Lepisosteus oculatus: one gene and its partners. The protein of the gene in region 1 interacts with the protein of each later gene in a pairwise test. Links are inferred from orthologs where the notes say so. Each region holds a gene or a part of one and is shown in the gene's direction. Other genes may lie near its edges. The genes, in order: nab2, cwf19l2 and tchp.

Region 1 (7,664 bases):
TTGAACACGGGAGAAGAGGAGCCCAGAAAAAAATATAAATGAACCAATAAAAGAGCAGAAGATATAATTGCAAACGAACACAATAAGTTATGTTTGCACAGTACGTCAGTTGTGTTTTTTTGTTACTTTTCATGTTTTAATGGAGTTTAAGTAATACTGCATTTCCACGTTATAATCATTAAAGAGGGGAGTCACATTAGACTATTTTGTCTCGTTTATGTGATATTTACCCACTATAAATAACCGATTCATTATAAATAGATGGGTTTTTGTCATATTACATATTGCAAGGTGTAACATAATATCAGACTCCTTGAATCCGTCATTCACACGGAAATGCTCAAAGATCAACGTTTGCGACTGACTTGGCAGCTCGAAGATGACGACTGGAGTGGCCCGTGAGCGCGCACAAACGTGCACACGCCCCTCCCCGCCACCGCCACCGGCCGAGGCCGCTCTCCTGCCCTGGGCCCCCGTGCGCGCCGCCGCTCGCACAGGGGCGCGCGGCCTGCTCCGTATGCAGAAGATCAATGATATTTCAAAAAGGCGAACGCAAAAGGGCTTTGATTAGCTCATTTCCTTCTGGCGTTTTCATAAAGCGGAGCTACGGGCTCTGTTTGCTCTTTTTTTTGTGCGTTTCTTGATTTTTTTTTCTCTCCTTCTCATTTATTTTCCGAGTCCCTGCCGCCGCATACAGTACAGGGCTCCATTCCTCTTTGTCTCTCTCCCTCCCACACGCCCGGACGTGCGGTTTCTATTTCTGCCCATTCCGGATGCCGGGCTAATGGGTTCCTTGAGGAATAGTTGCAGTCTGTGGGTGGGCGAGATCAACTGGAGCTCATGCTTGTATACCGGGAGATGGTGGGGGGGGGGGGAGCGGCTCGATACGGGGGCGGGAGGATGTGCGTCAGCTACCCAGAGAGCGAGAGAGACCGAGAGAGAGAGAGGGCGTGAACGGCGGAGGGGAAAATGGATTAGTGGGAGCAGGAAAGGACGAGAGAGAAAGAGAGGGAAGGAGCTGTTACCTCCTAGAGCCCCTGCCAGCCTGGTCAAGGCCCAGTGGTGTGTAAATAATCCTGGGAAAAACAGGGAGACGGATCCCCTTAGCACGACAACTCCATGTCTAGCCCCACCAACCTACGCCATTGCTGCTCTTTGTTGTAACCAACTCCTCCGATACAATATTGACTCCTCTGATTATCAGTTACGCAGCAGGTTGTGGCAGAACTGTGCACTGGAGCAGCCTGGAAGGGCTACAGAAGGTGTAGCTCTGGCCTACAGGAAGACGAGACCCAAGCAATCAAATTGCACTGGGGCCTTGTGACCATCCTCAGTACTGCAGACCTGAACCAATGTTGTATGACAGGCTAAGGCTGCCTGGATCTGCTGTGCTACCACCGCAGGAGCCACAGAGCACAACTGGCAACCAGTAGCTCACACTGGCCAAGTCACCACAGCATATTCCTGCATTGCAGCGCTGTCAGTCTAACGGACCGCACACATGCAAGGTTACAATCAAGAGGTCGTTCGGCTCAGCTGGCCCGTTTGGTAGTTAGTAGCTAATTGGTCCAGGGATCTCCCTGGTGGTCTAGTGGTTAGGATTTGGTGCTCTCCTTGCTGCGGACTGGGTTCGATTCCCGGTCACAGAAGCGTGTCTTTTAAGCCAGCAGCCATATCACCCTGCAGCTCACAACTGGCAGACCACTGAAGGTCAGCAGGTGTGAGCCTGGCCAGTACCTGATTAGGGGACATCTAGGGAAAAGCTAAGGTTGCTGCTGGAAGAGCTATTAGAGGGGCCAGTAGGGGGCGCTCATCCCGAGGTCTGTGTGGGTCCTAATGCTCCAGTATAGTGACGGGGATGCTATACTGTGAAAAGGTACTGTCCTTTGGATGAGACGTAAAACCGAGGTCCTGACTCTCTTTGGTCATTAAAATCCCAGAGCGTTTCTCGAAAAGAGTAGGGGTGTTACCCCAGTGTCCTGGCCAAATTTCCCATTGGCCTTTACCAATCATGGCCTCCTTAAATCCCCATCTCTGAACTGACGTCATCACTCTGTTCTCCTCCTCACTGATAGCTGATGTGTGGTGAGGGTACAGGTTCACTATTATTATACAGGTTCATTATTATTATTCACCAACCATTCCTTGAAAGAAGCCAGGGTCTCATCAACTTGGTTGAGCAGCCTGTACCACACTCCCACCACCCTTTGTGTAAAGGGTCTTAAATGTACCCCAGTGTAGGTGCACTTTTGTTTCCACCGCCTGAAAAAGGATAAAACCGAACAGCCTGGCAAGGCTCGTGGGGAGTTTTTTCCCCTTTTTACTGCTTGTCATTTCCTGGTATTTGCCTTGGGCTTGCTTCATCACTATCCCTTGCACTCAGCGTGACTTTGCTGGGCTGAGTTTCTCCCAGGCTCGGCGCCTTGCTGAGGCGGACTGGTGGTCGTCGCTCCCAGCAGGGAAAGGGGCCCTTGCTTTCGGGCTGCGCCAGTGGCCAGGCCGCCCCCTGCAACCAGAGGAAGGACGTGCAGGCATCTCCGGCTCCCCCACAGACGAGCCGATTGTGCCCCAGAGGACAATGAGTCTGCTGTCCCGGCAGAGGTGCTGAACAAGCCCTGCAGTGTGAGGCTGCCCCCACATGCCCCTGGGGCTGCCTGCGCATCCCAGCCAGAGGGGCCGGGAGCAGTCCAAACGAGCCTGAGTGGCCTCATTGTGTGATACGTATTGTCCCCCGAAATCTCTGCACTGGGACCTGCTCCTAGTCCGGGCTGCATTAAGGGGAAGCCGGAGCGAATTTCGTATTGCTCAGTACTCTGAAGCCCATTCGCAGAGGGGAACATCAGACCCTGAAAACTGCCCCCTTGTTCTTGCTCCTATAATACGACTGCTTGCTATCCGTTCCTACGGTGTCTCTCCAGAACGGATCCCTGCATGGCCCGATCAAGAAATCATGGTTAGGTCGCCTACTTTGCCCAGACATGTGAGGCTTGTCCCAGCTTCACTACCCCATCGCAGCCCGGCTGTGGAAGCAGTCTTCCTTCATCACAGTTTCAAACACGTAATCTGGCTTTTCAGCTGAAAAAGATGACAAATAGACATTGCAAGGAGGCAAGATACAAAAGACAGAAAAACATCCTCGGTCTTTACTGGATTCCTCCTAGTTACTCTTTTCAATCTTATGCACCAAGACAGCCCCTGCCTGTGCACCTCCTTGCACAAAGGCGCTCGTGCACGATCTTCTTAGGAACGGGGGTCTCAGACACAGCTCCCTGAGTGCCTAGTGTCTGCCTGGCATTCGCCGGAGTCATGAAACCGTTTGCCCGATTATTGTCTTTGTTGTACATGCGCAGGAGTTTTTGTCTTTGCCAGGTCTTTTATAGTTGATGACAACTCACTGCAAAACCCGGCTCAGCCTGTCTAGAAGGCAGTTAATTAACTAACGAGACCAGCTGGTAAGTCTGGGTGGGAAAAAAAAACAAACAGATACCAGTCCCCCTCCAGGGGGCTGTGTTCAAGACCTCGCCGTTAGAAAAGTCCAGTATTTCAGCAAATTCCACCCATTATAATTAAGACGATTGTATACCTGGCTCAGGAAATGGAGCCGATACAGGAATTATGGGATCTCCTGGGATTATGGGATCTCATCCCGAGTGGGACATTTGCCCATCACACAAGGAGACAACAACTGAGACAACAACTACCCCACCAGCATGTCTCCAGAATCTGAGAGGAAACTAGACACCTAAGAGAAAACTCACACAGACACAGCGGAACATGCAAACTTCACACAGACGGTTCCTCAGGTCGGAATCGAACCCGTTGCGCCGGCTTATATAATGAGATGTTGATATTTTGTAATGCTGGTGCTGCGAATTGACAGAAAAAAAAACATCTTAATTGTTTAATTGCTTTTAATAGGATCCACACAGTGACGCATAACGGCCTGTTGTGTAACGTCAGGGGATAAAAGAGAAGGTGGGCGATTTGCAGACGCCTTCGCTATTCACCCACTTGGACCTGCTGTCCTTCTCAAGCAACGTCATGGCGAAAACAGGAAACGAGACTGTGTTCGTTCTAGGGTGAGAAAGTCCCAAGCTAACGAAAGCCGGGTGTTCCACTGGTGCGATCACACAAGCAACCCAGCCGACCAACTACGTACACCGCGGCGGAGGTATGGGCACGCCAGACGCAGGCAGCCTGACAAGAAAACGCTGCTCTTGCATATCATACCGGCTGCAGTCGAGCGGAGAGTTTTCGAACGGTTTTATGTGAGCTGAGAATTACATCACTGGGGAATCCCCCCTTGTCAACTGCGTCACGCTTCGGATCCGTCGAACCCAGTCGGAAGTGGCCCACGCGCCTCCCCCGGACAGCCACACGCTGGCACGCTCACACACAGCCCGCTCCCGCAGAGCCGCGGTGCTGCTGATGGAGTTTTTCTGCTGTTCGTCATAAAACAAGACACACATCTATCATGTACCTTGTTTTACCAGTTTGCCAAGGTGTTTGTTGAATTATTCTAACCCAATAATAATAATAATAATAATAATAATAATAATAATAATAATACCGATGTTCACAAACGCACTCGAAACACTGTGGTTACGTAGTTCTTCACTCCTAAGCGCTATGGAGTGTGAAGTGGAGACAGCGAGACGTAGCTCTTCTGATGACAAGGAGCGAAGCTCTTTTAATACCCCGAATTTCACAGACTCCAGATGCACAACCCAAGTCATAAGAAGCAATAGATGTGTTTTACTCCCATAGATCTACAGGACTGGAGCCTTTTCGGCTGTGGGAACGGATGGTGGGTTATTATTATTATTATTATTATTATTATTATTATTATTATTATTATTGGTGATGGTGGTAATATTAATTGCATTGCTGATGTTTAATTAGCTTCTCTTGCTTTTAAGTTGCGTCATTTTTTCAGAACTTTTTTGTTCAATCAGAGGCTTGTTACTGTGTTACGGCTACTGCCGAAATGACCCGGGCGCCGTGCAGGCGGAGGGCGATGCGGACAGGGGCTGTCGCTGGGGCTCCGTGCAGAAGTCGCGGCAGTGCACTTGTGCGTGCACGACTGAGCCCGCCAGCGGCAACGCCGCTCTGTGGCGCTGGGGAGGTGTTGAAATCGACGGCAGCGGCGTGATGGGATTTGTCGACAGATCTCCGCGCCTTACTGCGTGATCCGCAGCAGTCTTTGAGCACTTGCACGGTTTGGAACGGCCTCGACACAGGGGGTGTGACTGGGTCGTTCAGGTCTCTTCAGGAGAAGAAACCCGCACTGTAGAGTTAGACGCACACACCAGACCGAAAGGAAGTTTGTAGGTGGCCGGGACCTCTCTCGCCGCAGTTGTGTTGTTGTTGGTTTTTTTTTTTAAAGAAAGGGTTAAAATGATAAAAGCTAGCATGTGAATCCCCCCACCACCCTATCCCCCCCAACTTCCACACCCCCACCCTGAAAGCCGCCTCTCTACCCGGGAGAGGAAAGCTCTTTTTCGGTCAGATGGCGCGCTGCAGTCCGCCCCCGGGTCTCTCTCACCCACACACCCTGCAAAACACTGTCTTTAACAATGCGGTCCGCCGAGAGAGGACAGTAGCCAGAGAAAACAGGCAGCCCGCAGGACAACAAAGTATCGGCAAGAGCAGAAATTAAGGGGGGAACAATAAATATTATCATAAGATAAGAAACAGGGAGAATAGGGGGGTACAAAAACCAGGCGGGCATGTTGGACCAAAGTTTCTAGAAGTTCTGCCTAAACGTTTCGATTCCTGTCTGCGCCGGGGCGGTTGAGGGGTGAACAGGGAGCAGACCAAAGCCGAGGCAGAAGACGGAGCACAACTCACCCATCGGGACTTAAGGGAGAGCAGGGGAGGGCAACGGGGGAAACTCTCCGTTTTCTCTCACTTATTTCCCCCTACACACGCTCCTCTCCCTGCGCGGTGTTTTTTTTTTGCCTTTTCCAATTCAGCGTCGGAACAGCGACGAGCGCGAAAGCGTGAGCGGGACAGCCGCGCTCCGCAGCGAGGCGAGCCGGGCAGCTGGCTGGGCGTTCCCGCCGGGAGCCGAGCCGAGGAGCGCGCCCGCGGGGCACCGTCTCTACGTGATCGCAGCCGACCGGGCGGATCCCAGAGAGGTAGGGCGATCGTCTTTGCTTACCCGGTGACCTCGGAAGGAGCGGGTGCCACAGCCGGCTGCCTTCGTGCAATTTTGGGGTGCGAGTGATCCCGTACGGCTGCGGGTGGCAACTTCTGAAACTGTAACTATTGTGAAACGTTCTGCGTCAGGGCTAGAGCAAGACACACCGGCGTAAACCCCTCTTCACAGATGCCGTTCAGCACTTACATGATCTTTCCCACCCCCAGCTTGTGCGCTTATTATTACGTTTGCAGCTGTCCGCCCGTTCGCAGATCCGCGGAATCGCGACGTTTGCGAGTCGCCGGTGTTTCAGCCGCTGTAGGCAACCATTCTGACTGCCTCCCTCCCCCCGCGAGCAGGTTGTGTTTCTGAACATACTATCCTGATCGTGTTTCCCAAGTCCTGTGCTTCGCCGCTCCTCCAGATAAGTCGCTTTTGTATTCAGACCCTTGTAAATCAAACTTTTGCTGACCGCTGTTTTCCGTCAACAGCTGCAGAAAACAGAATTCTGTACTTTCGGGGGATCTAGAAATCAGAAATTGCGAGCTGTGCTCCACGTCATACGGTACCTTTGGTATTTTTCTATCTAAACCCGCTGTCCCCCGAAGAGCGCGCACGCAGTACGCAACGATGTATTGTCGAGAGGACGAGGTTACTGTCGCAAGTAAGAAGCCCCATGGGCGCATCACAGCCAGGGGGCTCGGTGATTAGGAATATCCTGATAGCGGATCGGTTGGGTTGTTCTATTGCTCCGTGGCGAGGTACTGCCGGCCACCGTGGGCACGGCGCACCTTCTCCCGAGAAAGCGTCTCTTCTCCGAGCCAATAGACCGACGTCTCGCCAGACAGTGACCCCGATAAACCTTTATCTGCTAGAGGCGCCAAATGTCATCTCTTCTGCCTGTCTGGTCTTTCTGTGTCGGACGTGGCTGTGTCTTATCAGCATTCTTAAAAACGTGGGAAACGCAAGCATGCACTGTGTTAGATATCAGGATATCGAGGTGTTTTTGAAGAGTTGTCCCTCAACCGCTGCTGCCTTTGATATTCTCAGATTGCTCTGCTGGCGTGTTCAGTATTTAGTTTGCAGACAAGTGAGGTTCTATGCGTTTCGCTTTTCTGATTCTTTTTACTACTGTCTGCTACTGTGACAGCAGCTTAGGAAAACAAGCGGGCTGTGGCAGTGGAGTCGGCGAAGCACAAAGACGGCGTGGTTAATGGGATTTAGCTCCACGCACTTTACCCGATCTGTTTACTGGGATAAATACACGCCGCACCCCGAGTCAGTTCAGACCAGCTTCTAGCAAAATCCGAAATGGATCAAAGTGATGTGCAGTGGGAGTCTAGTGTTTCTCTGAGTAATAAACATAGTGGCAGCAACACCGCTAACAGCAATAGTGGTACTAATATGGACTTTCGGTTGTGATTGCTTCCACATGCACACGGTGCAGTCAGAACAAAGGCAGTGCCCGATCAGTGATGGTGCAGTTCTAGGTGGCTTGCATGAGTTGGGCTTGGTCACGGAC
Region 2 (7,496 bases), on another chromosome or scaffold:
CATCCTGGCAGACGTAGGCTGTGGGAATGGAAAGTACCTGGGGTTAAAACAGGACCTGTTTGCGGTAAGACAGTCCGTAGATCTGCAGTTTTAATGATACTTTACGGAAAGCCCCTCTACTCTGTGTTAACGAGCTGTATGATTTGAGTGAATTACACGGGTTGTTGACCCAGCTCTGTTCTCCTCATTGTCGCCAAAGCATATATATTACTACTTCGTGAGGTTTCGTTTGGAACAAACCATCGAGCTGAGCTGAAAGACTATCATCTTCATTTAGAAAAGAATATAAAGTAGCATTTGTAAGTGCATAAAAGTTACAATCTGCACATTGATTAGTATTAACGTTCTGATAATCCAAATTATTTGCAGTGTCCTTGCTCGTCCCCTTATGGTATAGGGAGACAGTGGGCTCCTGAAGTACACATCTTTAAAAAAAAAAGATAAACAGATGAAAGATTACAGCTTTGAATATGTCCTAAGTATTCTGTCTTTTAGATAAGATCATGTTTATATGCAGAAAACCAAGTGTATTATATAACACTTTGCTTTTTGATTCAATTCCATATTATATTAAAATCTGTATTGGAAAGGAAAGTATGATGTACTGGCTGTTAAAAACGGTACTGTTTGATGTATTTGTTATACAACTATGGAGGAAAGCATTTTTTTAGGATAGGTCGAACAAAATGTGTAACACAATTTCTGTAAGTGACAAAGCCCTAGCTCATAGCTCATAATTGTCTTTCCATGATAATTTTGACCTTTCGTCTGTTTGGATAAGATAATGTTGCAAGCTGCAGGCTTTATTTTTGTGCAAAAGAACCCCTAACTGTGGAAGACACTTTTTAAAAGAAAATATTATCGTAAATTATAAGTTTTTTTTATATTTGAGCACCAAACATGGCATCCTCTGTAAATTTCTGTTTTTATTTGCCTTTTACTGTGTCTTTCAAGCAGTAAAGCAGATATTGATTTATTGGTGTAAATCATGTCTTATTAAAAATTAGCCAGAATAATGTGTGGGGATAGCTATTGTCATTGCCTTTACCTTTTAAAGGTGTACACTCCTCATAGTGCCCCAAAATGTTTTTTTTTCTTTGCTTGTAACTGGTGCATTGTTGAATTATGCATGAGATAACACATTTTTAAATATTTCAAATGTTACCTCAAAACGCATTTGGAAAACGTAAATAAGATACTTTACGTGTCAAAATAAAAAATACTGCCACAAAATATAAAAAGATGATATGCTCACGGAGAAAGGCCCACAATAACACCCCTTGACTTAAACTCTGCATAACACAGACACATTACGTGTGTTTTCAGCGACCTTCAAAGGATGTCACTGTTTGTTCAAGAGTCACAGAGGTGGCTGCAGACAGGATCCGATCCGAATCTTCTGGGACGCAGTGTGATGCTGCTTTTTGAGAAACCCCTTTGTGGTGGTTTTTATAAAGGCTACTGGCTGTCTGGATGGGGACTGAGATGGCCCTGGTTGTGTCGGGGTGGGTGCAGTCTGCTCATCCCTTTCTGACATGGCTCCTGGCCCTTGCTGCTGTTGATGCCCCGCTGCCCCCCTCCTGTGTTTTCGCAGGTGGGCTGTGATCGCAGCAGGAACCTGGTGGATATCTGCGGAGAGAGGAGCTTCCAGGTCCTGGTGTCAGATGCTCTTGAGGTGCCTCTTCGCAGTGGCATTTGTGATGCCTGTATCTCCATCGCCGTCATTCACCACTTCTCCACTAAGGTCAGCAGACACTCATGGTTCTTCTTACCTAGAGCAGGCAGGACACAACGGCTCTGGATGGTTCTCCTAGTTATTCTTTTCATAGGAAATTTCACTTGATGAAAAAAGGCTAGCAGGAGAGTGCTACAAAAACAGCTGAAGATCAGTGAGGATCTCAGATAAAGCAGTAGGCTGCATTTTTTCATTAGGTAGGAGATATTCAGTACAGTTCAAGAAGAAAACAAGTCGAAGCCTTAGTTTGCCTACTGTATCTAATCTTTTCCCAAACCACACCTTTTCTGAAGAGAAAAGTTACATCTAACTTCAGCTTTAGTCTCTGGAATAAAAGGATAGACATAAAAAGGTATTTAAAGTTAATAAAAAGGTATTCACTGTTTTTAAAGTTTATTTCTTCTAAAGCCATTGAAATGGACAGGCTTGTGAAGCACGAAAGTGTTTTGGTGTTACCTTATAGTATTTTAGAATACTCAGTACTCAATCAACAGAATGCTTTAGAATACTCACTGGAAAACCATACAACCTGGCTAATCTCCACTGCAGTTACAGGTATTAGGGAGAACTTTGGAGTTTGGGGCGTGGAACACTGCCACCTCTTCACTCTGCATTAAACAATTCTGCAATGTACCTACCCTACCTAGGGCTCCCCTGGGCTTACTTTGTATTGGCTATTAAAAAAGAACAGAGCAGAAAAATGTAATTATTCACTGAGCTTACTAATTGTGTTTCATGTTTAGGAGAGAAGACTAGCTGCCATTAAAGAACTTGTGAGGCTTTTGAGGCCTGGGGGAAAGGCACTTATTTATGTTTGGGCAATGGAGCAGGAATATAACAAGCAGAAGTCCAAATACTTGAAGGGGAAAAAGGTGAATCAAGAAGAGGGCTCTGCGCAAAGACCTGAGCAAACAGCGGACCACCTAGGACACAGCACCTCTTTGGCATCAAACCACAGGCCTGCTGGGAAGGAGGTCAAAGATTGTCCTTTGACTCGGCAAAACATGTCAACATTGAGCGTTCACACCAACAGAACTGCGTTCCATTCCCAGGACCTGCTTGTCCCCTGGCATCTGAAAAGCTCTGCTCCCAGGGACAAAAACGTGGGAAAATCATTAGGATCTGCAGATATCTGCCCCATCTTTCACCGCTATTACCACGTCTTCTGTGAAGAGGAGTTGGAGAGCTTGTGTGGAGAAGTGGAGAACATTGCAATCCAGACCAGTTACTATGATCAAGGGAACTGGTGTGTAATATTAGAGAAGAAAAGTGAATGATTTTTTAAATGTGATATTAAGGAAGCCAAAAAGAAAGATTTTAGTGTGATTTTTATGATGGCCGTTATCGAGTAATTCAAAATGCAATGAAGTAATTCAATGTAATGTATTTTATTTAATGAAAATAAAAGTTCTGCAAAAAGATTTTTACTTATCAGGAAGCACCATTTTTGGAAAGGATATCATACTACGGACTCCGAGGTTCGATGTGTTATTTTGAAAGCTTGATGAGTTTAAACCTTAGCATTTGTGCTTTAATATGCAGTTGCTTAAGATCTTTACCTCTGATGTCTCAATTTTAATATGGCTTGCTGAATACCATTTCCCTATGCATTGCTAGACTTATATGTTCTGTACTTTGAAAACGTAGAATTGACGCATAGCAGCAGTTTCTTAATTGCTTTTACATTTGTTCTACAGTAAGTTCGTATTTAGTTTTTTATTGATTTTACAAATCTCAAAATGCAATGTATACTATACTCTTTTTTACTATTGTGATGTCTCAGGTGAAACTATGTCCTAAACTGCACCAGTCATCTGCGTTATTATTAATGGGTAATAGGCCTTTGATCAAAAGCTGGGACAAATTTTTGGCACTAGAATATTTGGCTGCATGTTTCCCAGCACAGAGACCTGCCCAGGATTGTTTGAATATTAACAGCAGATCTTCTTGTGCACAATTACAAAGTGAAGCAATGACGTGTATGAATTGTACTGTTTTAACATGGCTAGACTTTCTAGTAACAACTCCGGATTTTATTAAATAACGATCCGAGCTGATCTTTAGCCTTTGCATGAGGTCTGTCCACACCACCTCCCATTTCCTGAAAGGTTTATAATTTCACATATGACATAATCAAGTCATATGGCAGATTTTTCATTTTGACCCAAGACCATTGTATGAACAGATTCCAAAATCACAAGTGCAATAAAAAATGACCTCTGGCATAATAAAAACAATGTTCGCTACACCTTCTATCGCACCCTTCTAAATCCAATGACGTAATCACAAAACAAATACTGTACAGTTATTGCCGTAGATTGACTTCTGGGCAGCTGTTTTTTTTAATTTATGCATAACAGAATAACACAAATTAAAATACAAACGAGCACATATAACATCTCAAGACAAAAAGATCGTCAGGGGTACATATTACAACATAAATTCAAGTTATGAAAAAAGATTAAACAAATTAAATAAAAATAACGTCCGCACCGCTTTCATATTTTTGCTGCGAACACTCCCTTACACCCATTTTAAAATGCTCAAAGGGTTCTTCCCAGACCACTTCATTTTATGTATATAATAACTTCTGGGCAGCTGTGCGTTATGTACTGTTGCGGCTTCAACTGTCGTAATGTATTTACGACCGTTTAAAAGGCCTTGGATTAACCGGCCGCTCGGTTTGCGGCATCGTCATGGCGGCGTACGGTGGTAGTTTTGAAAGTGCCAACAGCCTCAATGAGAAGAAAGAGTTGAAAAGGAAGGCAAGAGAAGACATTCTGAAGAAGGTAGGTGTGAGTTTCGATGAAAATTACTGTTTGTGAAGATTGCTTACTCCGTGTTCCAAGAAGGGTGGGAACTTATACATCTGTGCTTAATATGAATACTCTTGCCGTATTTACTGAATAATCGTTAATACTGAAATACTTAAAATCTTTACACGTACGCGTAAGCAAATAAGGATTATAGAGTATATGCAGTTTCGAGGAAGTGATTTTATGCTTTGAAAGAAACGGGATATGGAATATTTCAAGACAACTATCAGTAATGTCATTTCTGCACTTCTGTTGCCTGTTGTACTGTATTTAATTGGTAACTTCTTGTCAGACAAAGTTCTTGATGAGTCATATTAGCTGAACTATAAACTGGTGTAGCGGTTCCTAGTTCTTTTTATCACCAATTTCCTCTGGCACGTTATACTATATAACTAGCTCTTGTATGTGCGGGGCAGAGGGAAATTGATTTTTTACTCGCGTCATATAACAGCGAAACCACAAGGTGGAGATATCGCACCTGCAGTGAACGATGTCGTCTGTAGCTTATGTACATGTCTCTTAGGGTAATTTTCTTTTCCATATTTTCTGGAAAGGAACTATTCAGACGTTTTAAATAAATTATTGTGAGCGAATTCATTATTTATTCTGTCCTTGGCACCGAAGCAGATACTGAAAGCATCTCCTTTAGTTCTTCAGGAAGTTTAGGGTATTACTATTCTACATTAAAATCAATGTATGCGCCAGTTTTGGATAGTTATTAGTCTTACACAGAAGATAAAATTAAAAATAGAAACTTGAATTATTTAGGCATTGTAACGGCGTGATAATAGGTATAGCAACATTGCACCCGATAATTTATCTTAAGGAATGTTCAACTGCGCTATGCGAGGTGGAACGGTTTCCTTCTTTCGTGGGCTCTTGTAATGAAAATTTGTATCGCATATGCTGAACAAAAATAAGTATCATAAACCTTATCAGCACAACTGCCTTGCTGTCATCAGTCACTTTAATTACTTGGCTGGAGAGTCCAAAACCAAATGCTGAACGCTGGTGATAAGACGCATTACGCGCCGCTGCAGGAAGGAAAAGATGCGCAGAAGCCTATTTGTGCGTCAGCAGTTTGTCCAAACACCGCCTGTAGCTCAGAAGCAAAGGCAAAACAAGCCTTGGTTTTTGAATAAACCATGCCTCAGAACAGTGTGTTGAAATCCTTTGCTTCTATCTGACGTGTTGAGCTTTACTTTTCCCCCCGTCTTCTCAAATCATGATCAATACTTAATAATTTGCATTCGGCATGGTGCAAATTCAAAGGCGAGGTTTTTTTTTTCCCTAGTGCTTTGCAGACGCCTAGGAACATAAGCTTCTTGGACGAAAATTAAAGCTTTAAGAATGTTAATGTGTTATGCAAATACCATAACAATTTAAGGTATGCTAGCAAGTTCGTACAGTATATGCAGAACTAGAGTTTCAAAGACCTGTTGCTTGTTTGAATGACAAGGTGAATTGCCTGAACCTTTCTGACGTTTGACCACATGTCTGATTTGGTGGTAACAAAGAAACAATCAATTTAATAAGAAAAATCGTTTTTTTTAAATAAACCTTATTGGAAAATACGGTATTTGTTAAGGTAAATTACCACGTTTCTTGGCGAGTGGCTTTTTAATTAAATTACCTTTTATAGTTGGGCCGAGTTACCTTATCTCAACAGATCTCAGAATACAGGTCTTGGTCTGGTCCGTATAAAATGAGAAAACAGCATTCACAGCAGTAGCTTGGTTGGTGGACCAGTAGGTGGTGCTCTTCCCTTTCCAAAGTTTCTTGATCAATGCTGCAGTATGGAGTCCTCCACCATGCTGCAGGAGGTGTTATTTTCTGAATGAGACCCTAAACCTTAAACCCTGAATAAAGCAGATCAATTTATTTGGCTCTGTTACAAAACTACTTGACCATTAAAGGTGCCACAGTGCTGTTTGAGAAGGGATGTTGATTCCTGGTTCCTGACTAAGTTCTGCTATGGGTCTGTCCAGTCTGGCCTACCTAAAGTTCTTAATTCAGTCTTGAACAATTTCTCACTGCTATGTCTGATCGGTGTAGTGGGGCTGCTGGTGTGAGATGGCTGCCGCATGTCACCCAGGTGAGTCAAAAGTATGTAATCTTTGTCTGCATGTATTCTTCTTCTTCTTCCTCACATTTTCCCACTTATGTGGGGTCTGCTTGTTTGCACCGATTTTTCCACTTCGTACGGTCTGCGGCGTCTCGGCAGGAGACTTTTGCGAGGCCCATGTCGTCTTTCAGCCAGTCCAGCCAGCGCGTTAAGGTTGTCCATGAGGCCGGCGGCCTTCCGCATTCAATTCGAGGGCGGTCTTTGCCATTGATGTGTCATTGCTGCAGAGCACGTGTCCATACCGTCGCAGGCGCGATTCCCTCATTTTCTCAGTGAGTGTTTATCGCGCCCCTTCATTCATGACATGGTCTAGTCTTCTACAGCCGAGGGTCCATCGCAGCATCTTCATTTCCAGAGGCATTGGAGTGCCTCTTTGTCTGCATGTATTGGATCTTTATCTGATGTTTATCTTTATCTTTAGCTGTATGATGTCCCACTCTTCTGTGTGAGCACTTAAAAATGTGTCACTAAGTGTTAGACATTTCCATAGGCCCTGCCTCAGGAGCTGCGTTACACTCCTGATTACTGCATTTGTTACATTATGTCATATGTATGTCTCAAAAGGAAACACTCTTTAACAAGATAATTCTGTCAGTAACCATGAAGTACAAGGAAAGGTTGATTTTCAGGTGGAAAGCTGTTAGAGTAAGTATTCTTATCATTATCTATCAAGTAGATGCAAGACATTAAAATATTAAATTTAAATAAATAAAGCAGATCATTTTATTTGGCTCTGTTACAAAAGATGAGATCCACCAGGAATTTTCAGTGTATTTTTTTCTGCGCATATTGAGTCTGAGAAGAGATTTAATTGGCTGCT
Region 3 (7,503 bases), on another chromosome or scaffold:
AAGAAGGGCACATCCATTCCAGGCAAAAATGGCCTCTGGATGCCTAAAAGATTAAGGCATGTTAAAGGCGATGTCTCACAGTATAAAGCTGCTATAGGGAATCTGTGGCTCACGGGAAATGTTGTGATTGGCTTCGAATAGGTTTGCAATGTCACTGCCCCTCATTGAGAGCCGAAAAATCATTTCAGCCTTCACATTTCAGTGGTTACCACTGAGGAAAGGCTGTGTGGAAGTACAGAATGGATATGTGTGACTGTGTTGTGAATCAGAATGAGGACAGACGTTTATTTTCGAATTTTACCTCCTCGGGATGTCTCCAATTGAAACGTCTAGTTGTAACGTCAGGTGCCTGATTTTGTATTCTCACTAAGATCAGGGTGATGCTCAGAGAAACAAAAGTCCGTATTAGGAGCTTTTAAGAGGATTGTAGAAAGAGCGTTCTAGGACAGCATCCTTGAACAATCTTTGTAATATGAACAGCATGTGGGAAAAAAGCAGATTAATCTGCTTTAGAGGTTATGTAAAAGAACTGTCCCTACCACCCAGTAAAAGCCACTCACTGTAGGAGTTAGGTCAGGAAACATGAAGCATTTGCCTTCCTTTTTACAGCAGATTGTATGTCCAAATCTGCTGAAATAATTTCTGTAAGGTTTGTATACAATATTTTCCAGCTTAAAGCCAATACATTGGTGGTATGTTTGACCTTGATGGAAATCTGTCTGCGTTGTGAAATCTGTCTGGTTATTTAAAGTGGCACCGGGCACCAGGTAGAGATTAAACTACTGCTGTTGGTTTCAAATGCACACATACACTCAGCAGGAGATAAGTCACTGAGAAAGTGTTTTGGAAAAGCACTGGAGTCTTTGGGACATGAGATATTCTATGTACAGTAGTATATAATGCAGCATCAATGCTTAATAGGAGTCAGTCTCCAATTTCCATTCCTTTGTTCTGTTTCGTCTAACAAGAGTATGCTGTAAAGACAATACGCCCCTCACCATTTTATGTATATTGGGGACCCACACACACAAAGAAAACAATGCAATCACACATTAAAATATCGATTACCAACCTTGAAAGACCAGTCTTCAAATGGTAACAAAATGAAACAAAGGACAGTTAAACAGGTAAAACAAAGCATACATCAGATAACTGAGGTACGCCCCTCCTTACAGACCCATCTCCCGTCAGGGAGACCCCTGTGCTACAATCACAATGCCCGTGTCTGCTCATCACTTCAGAACATAACAGGAAATCAGGCAATGATGGGTTTTATACACTCCAAGAGTATACTACATTCACATTCCAGTTGATTAGAGCTGCCTAGTCATTAAAAATGGAAAGTGCTGCTCTGTGCCTTTTACTATATTGTGGCCTTAAAATAAAATCTGTTCTCCATTTAAAGTAAGGCATAGGTGTGTTTAATATGTTGCAAATATCAGAACCTTCAGTCACTTACCCCAGAGTCAATGACTTCCCTAACCCCACCAGGTCTATACAGAACTTAAGTCTTTAAACTGTATTTTATAGATGAAGTGTAGATAAGTGTAGCTATCAAAACAGAATGAGTGTCTATCCAACAACGAGCAGGATAAAACGATTTTGTTATTTTTTTATACACAACATGAGAAGGGACTTTTGAGCTACCCCGTTACAGAATGTGTTCCTTTATAAAGCAGTCGTTAGTCTGTTGAATAACAGTAATTAAACGAGTACTTGTTCATTCTGGGTCAACCCATCGTAGTGAAGCGTGGGATTACTATCAGGCTGTAAATATAGATTAGACAAGCAGTGCGCTTCTCACGTTTAAAGGCAGCATCTTATGTTTACAGCCCGGGATCCAGATACCACCAGGCTCAGGCTATCAGGTTCTTCATTTGGATGTTGAAGCCGGAGAAAGTGAAGAAGATTAAGCAAAGATAAGCGGCAGTTCTATGTTATCGAGACCCTGTAATCTGTTCAATTTCTCTTAAATAAATGTAGGTTTAAATTTCCTCTGCAGTTCTAGGTAGTAAAACCGTTCATGCAGTTGATTTAAAATGCCATTGGACAATTAATAGGAAATACTAATTAATCGAATAATTAATTAGTTACTAACTGCTGATTATTTGGCATTAACAACAATATATGCCAAGCAGCCAAAACGATAAATATACCTCAAGCAGCGCGGCTGTTATGTCTCTTACGATTGTACTGTATTCAAAGAAGAAACGATGTTGCGGTGTAGTGCAGTTCTGCACGTTTTCAGCGGAGTTTCATTTATTGCAATTCTGGTAATCATTGCGTACAGGGCAAGCAGCACTCTGAAACCTCTTTTTTTTTTCTTAACACATGCAGAGCACAAATCTCAAACACGGAACATCACTGAATCTTACAGTAAGCTTCGCCTCCGACCAAGCATTCATCTTGAAGTTACCGAGGCAAAGTTAGACTAAACTTCACGGAGCAGCTGAATGAAAATATTTAACTTCCGATCGTTTAAAAAATGCTACTATTAAGCACTGATATAACAGACCACAACGTAGCGATAAAACTCTTTGTTTACCTGACCGTGGTCAGATTAAATCTTATAAAGAAGCTGGAGCATTAAAACACATTTCCAAAGTGCGTGCATAAAGTGAAGAGACTTCAAGGTGATTTAAAAAAATGGATAATACGACTTCAAGCGATTTAGATCCTTATGTGGAAACACAAAGATAACACTACAACACACCCCGAGATCGCTTTGTTTACAGAAAGGAATGGCATCCGTTGCTAAAAAGGTGATTTGTCCTCCCTGCCCAGGTGAATTTAAAGAAACTTACCGAAGAAAGACGGAAGGTACGACACCGACTCCAAAAACGATCTGGTATCCACTTGCTTATCGGCTGGAAGCTGTTTAAACTGATGCTCCGCTAGAAGAGCCATGGTGCGCGACTGTCACGGCAAAACCGTAATTTAAAACTCGTCAATCGAGGGGGAAATAAAGCTTCAAAAACAGAAACCCGGAACTGTCAGAGAGAGCGCTTGTGTGGTGGAGTAGAGGAGCGACTGAACTGACAGCTCGGGGGGCCGCACAGCGAGCGAGTGGCTCCAGCTGGATTTTCGGATTAGCCTATCAGGTGCAAGGTGGGCGGGACAACACCAGCCAATACCGAAAAGAAACTCCCAGAGCCGTGCGGCACAGACCTACCTGGAACCTTCTGTACCTACAGTACTCGTTGAACTGTGGTCCTTGAGTTTAAACATGGTTCCAAAAAGGAAAACAAAAATTGAGACAGTACAGGGCTCACATCAGGCATGTTGTATCATATTGAATGTCCGGAGGATTTGATTCGTGTGAAGAAAAGGTTTTTACAAGTGTAGATGTACATAATCTCCCCTTTCGCTTTATGGTTTTAGATGAGAGATTTCTATCTAAACGTTTCCTCTGTAAAAGACAAAGAAAGAAACAAATAGATAAGCGAGTAAATAAATTATAAAACGATATATTTTTTTGTTTGCTACATGGTCAAAACGTTGAATTATAAAAATGCCAAAAATAATTAAGCAGCTCTTCAAAAATATGTCGTGATGATTCAATATCTGATAAATCAATCACTATATATACAGTATGTTTAATAATGGGTACTTTTCAAGTCTTATTTGCATTATTTGTATTATTTGCGTTAAAGATATATGCGACACTTAAATGTACTAAAGCAGAACATTGCAAGGGATCAATAATTCAGAGGACCCAACTCCTCACATTCTAAACTTGTGAAAGGGCTTTTCTTTTAATTTATTTATATCCTCTTTACCCTTTAACTGACAATTTCGATATCTGACAACACTTCTAGGGTATAATTAGCCATGGTTATCTGTTCATCATGAAACATTCATAGCTGCTCTATATTTAATGCGGGGCAGACAATGAAATTGAACGAAGCATATTTAATCTTTGTCTCCTACATTCACCAGACAGGTATATCCTATATTGTTGTGATTTACAGTGACTGGTGAATGACTGGTGACGTAAATTTCTACTTTCTTTCTAATTTAAAATTAAATAAAACGCGAAGCTATTATAGGAGCAAACCACGCACACTAAATACTAAATGTTGGATGCTCTATTTAAAAAAAATTAACATTTCAAAGCAAGCAAGTCATAAAACAGTGGGTTTTTAGGTGCTATCTTTGGCATTTCAAGACAAAGTTCAGCTAAACATGTGCCTAAAACGCGTTTCTCTGAGAATTTCTAGCGAGACAAAATGTAGAGTTGCCACCAACCCAGAAAAGTCCATTATATCTGCCATTTCATGCAATTTGTTTGAACAATTATTGTGATCAGCCTTTAAGTGCAGATTCAACGCAGGCTATGGACATCCAGAATGTCGGTTTCGAAACATTAGTTAAGAACACGGGAAACGTCTAAGCATGTGCTTTGTCCCTTACGGCATCCGTAGTGTAACCAGGAAGTTAAACCGGTTACCAAGTGAAACAGGAAATAGCCGAAAGGAACTGTCGCCAACTGAAATTTCTGAAATTTGAAGTTGGAACAAGCTTCCACTTGGAATAAAGCCTACCTTACTGCGTTATTGAAAACGTGATAATCATATTTCTACAGTGAGTATTTGCCTCTTAGACGAATTGTCCCCTTTTGCATGAACTACAAATTCGCATTATATTGATTTCGAGTGCTTATGAAACCAGATGTTTAAACCAAGTCAATATGTCTCACATGAACATTACAATAGTACATCGCGATGTATGTTAGTTTAAAATCGCAGGGGATAAGAACAGTACGATACCACTGTTAAACATAACGCGTAACATCTAAACATTTATCTATGCAATATTGTTGAATACTTGCTTATTTGTGTACGGTAACGCATTTAATAATGTAGAAGTCTAAAGGTGAATGAGTTGTTATTGTCATTTTTAGTGCAAGGAAACTAGGAATACCCATTGTAAAGTTTAATAATGGTAATAAGGGTGTAGAATATAATCATCTGTGGTCCTGTGACATTCTGTTTTAGTATTGATTGATGTTTGAAAGGAAAGGGTTCCTACATTACAATGAACGTTTGTTTTTTTTTTAAGGTGCAGGAAACAGATGGCTCTTCCCACCCTCTCGATGCGCTGTCCGAGCCGCTCTCGAGTTCTGGAGCAGCAGATCGTGCGACAGCGGGAGCAGGAGGCTCGCTTCCGGCAGCAGTGGGAGCTGCACTCGCAGTATTTCAAACAGAACAACGTGCGGAGCAGCAAGCAAGCCCAGTGGAGCTCCCGACAGTCTTACCACCAGAGGTGATTCAGCAAACCTCTTTCAACAATGTGTTTTATTAACCTCAATGTGCTGGACAACGATGAATCGTTGATTTTGCTTTTTGTTTACACGCGCTTTGCTTGGCAAAGTGCTTTGGGATGTTCAGTATGTGGTGTTTGAGACCCATCGAGGATAATTTGCTGGGATGGAATTAGATCACTCTTATAAAACAGTCATTCCCTTCTACAGGCGTTCAATCCTTTTTAGAACTAAGATAAAAAATAGGAAAAACGTTATTTTCATATATACCCGTTGCAATAAAGCAAGATTCCTTGATTCTTGCCTTGATCTTTAAAAAAGAGCGTGAGAAAGGTTACAAGTTAGAGGAGGACATGCAGCACAACTAGCTCATGTAGCTGTTTATAACTCATAGATCCGAGGGTTTCATCCAGCAATTTCGTGAACAATGTCAGGGTATCGCGCTTAACAACATGGTTGGGCAGCTTATTCCGTAAAGTTATGTGGAGAAAAAAAAGGACTCCTGTGTTCAGTTTTAAAAGTGCTTTCATATTCCACTGGTCTACTAATAATTCTTAGCCTTGTGAACTGCTGAGTTTTCCCATTTAAGTATTGGCAGCCTCTCTCCTGTTGCCAGCATGACAGCCTACCATCAGGAGAAAGTGAAGGAGGAGAAGAAGAGGAGTCTGGAGCAGCGCAGGGCCCGTCTCCGAGCCTTCCTGCAGGAGGAGAGGGACCAGCTGGAGGCTGAGCTCAGAGAACTGGTCCCCGACAGAGAGACGCTGGCCAAACAGATGACAGAGAGGATGGAGGGGCTCAGGACATCCAGGGAAGAGCGGAGAAAGAAGGTACAAGCAGTGCTCACGTTACAGAAACCAGTTCCTGTAGTTTGAAGTAAGCAGGGAAATATTTCAGCCTGATCCAGCCCTGACATAATCAATCGTGTTATTGTGGGATTCGTGCGAAAGATAAAGGTTCAGGGTGAGACAGAACAAAGACAGCTGGTGCCAAGCTATGACTGGGAGAAAACAGTGGCCTGATCATCGAGTTAGCTGCATTCTTGTTGGCAATCCTTAATGCAGTTTTTGATTTTGGTCACAGGTGGCAGAGGAGCTGTTGCAGGAGCATTGGAAGAGAAATAATTCAGATTTACGTCAGGTACAGTTTGTTTTTCTATGCTTTATGTGGTAAAAGCATGGTCTGAAAGTTTATTTGCAAACATCACTTTGTTATTTACTTGTATTTTGAGGTACATGCAGAAGGCATCCAGTTATATGAAATTTGTTCATCTCTAGTATTTCTGTATCCTACGTGTTACATTCTGAAAGGTAGGGTACTCTTACTAACTGCAATGAATCTTAAGGATCAGTTTTTAAAATGTTAATGTTGTTCTGAGTCCTTGAAATACAGCAAAATTAAAGAGAACCACATGGTGTGAAAGTGTGAGGAGAAGTGCGTCAAGGTGTTGACTTGATCCTGAAACTAATAGGCCATTGACATCATTGTTCCATGACAGTGTGTAATCCTGACCCTAGGATTGAGTTCCTGTCCCATAATGATAAATTATTTCTTCAGAGACCTGCTACCTGCAGCAGGGGATTTTGCAGAATCAATTGAAGCCTAAGAGACTGTTTTTTTTAATTTAAATAGACATATATACAGCTTAATATGCAATTGTTTTGACATAAAAGTTTTATCTGACTTTCTGTCTTCTTAGTGTTAGGTGTTAAAGTTAGGAAAGAAATCCTTAACGTCCCCTTATACTTTTATATTCTAGGTTGAATCAGCATTGCACAAGGACCATGTAGTGAACAGCTGGCAGGTGCAAACGAGAGAAAAAAAACAGGTACCTGCACCATCACCATTAATTAACATTTGCCCCTATGCCTTATTGAGAGGCATAGGGTAATCTAATACCAGTTCTTGCTTAACTTTGCAGAAAAGCAAAATGCACTGGCACCTAACATTTGAAATGAATGTTCTTTCAATATCTCCTGTTAACAATTATGCTTTTACTGAAGTCTGAGTAAATGTATCATGAAGTTAGATGTCATTTGAAGAATGCCATGGCCCCTCATACATCTCCCTGGTGGTCAGGCAGTATGACTTGGGTTAATTGTACATATCGCTGTGTGACACTCCATTGTAATACATCCTGTGAAACTCAGGCTGAGTCTAAGAGCCACAGGTCTCTGGCCACTGACCTTTTATTCTCACCTAACCTAGGGCTAAATGCCGGGCTGGAGCAGTACCTGTTCTCC

Evidence for each region.
Region 2: the proteins of nab2 (region 1) and cwf19l2 interact in binary tests that used the Homo sapiens proteins (3 or more experiments, as listed by UniProt). The two-hybrid records come from large-scale screens. The link is inferred for Lepisosteus oculatus from reciprocal best matches to the Homo sapiens genes NAB2 and CWF19L2.
Region 3: the proteins of nab2 (region 1) and tchp interact in binary tests that used the Homo sapiens proteins (3 or more experiments, as listed by UniProt). The two-hybrid records come from large-scale screens. The link is inferred for Lepisosteus oculatus from reciprocal best matches to the Homo sapiens genes NAB2 and TCHP.

The regions. Positions count from the first base shown.
Region 1 is NC_090696.1:15,542,930-15,550,593, forward strand, and holds the start of nab2 (NGFI-A-binding protein 2), read left to right. Parts: upstream 1-4,594; 5' UTR 4,595-4,804; coding exon 4,805-4,807; intron 4,808-5,975; coding exon 5,976-6,140; intron 6,141-6,510; exon of another isoform or gene 6,511-7,574; coding exon of another isoform or gene 7,575-7,664. UniProt on the Homo sapiens protein: Acts as a transcriptional repressor for zinc finger transcription factors EGR1 and EGR2. Isoform 2 lacks repression ability.
Region 2 is NC_090700.1:10,208,514-10,216,009, forward strand, and holds the start of cwf19l2 (CWF19-like protein 2), read left to right. Parts: upstream 1-4,397; 5' UTR 4,398-4,431; coding exon 4,432-4,524; intron 4,525-7,496. Other genes in the region: alkbh8 (alkylated DNA repair protein alkB homolog 8), read left to right, coding at 1-64, 1,595-1,744, 2,479-3,012.
Region 3 is NC_090717.1:5,755,747-5,763,249, reverse strand, and holds the start of tchp (trichoplein keratin filament-binding protein), read left to right. Parts: upstream 1-4,433; 5' UTR 4,434-4,584; intron 4,585-5,061; 5' UTR 5,062-5,074; coding exon 5,075-5,265; intron 5,266-5,879; coding exon 5,880-6,090; intron 6,091-6,343; coding exon 6,344-6,400; intron 6,401-7,019; coding exon 7,020-7,088; intron 7,089-7,503. Other genes in the region: gltpa (glycolipid transfer protein), read right to left, coding at 2,805-2,907. UniProt on the Homo sapiens protein: Tumor suppressor which has the ability to inhibit cell growth and be pro-apoptotic during cell stress. Inhibits cell growth in bladder and prostate cancer cells by a down-regulation of HSPB1 by inhibiting its phosphorylation.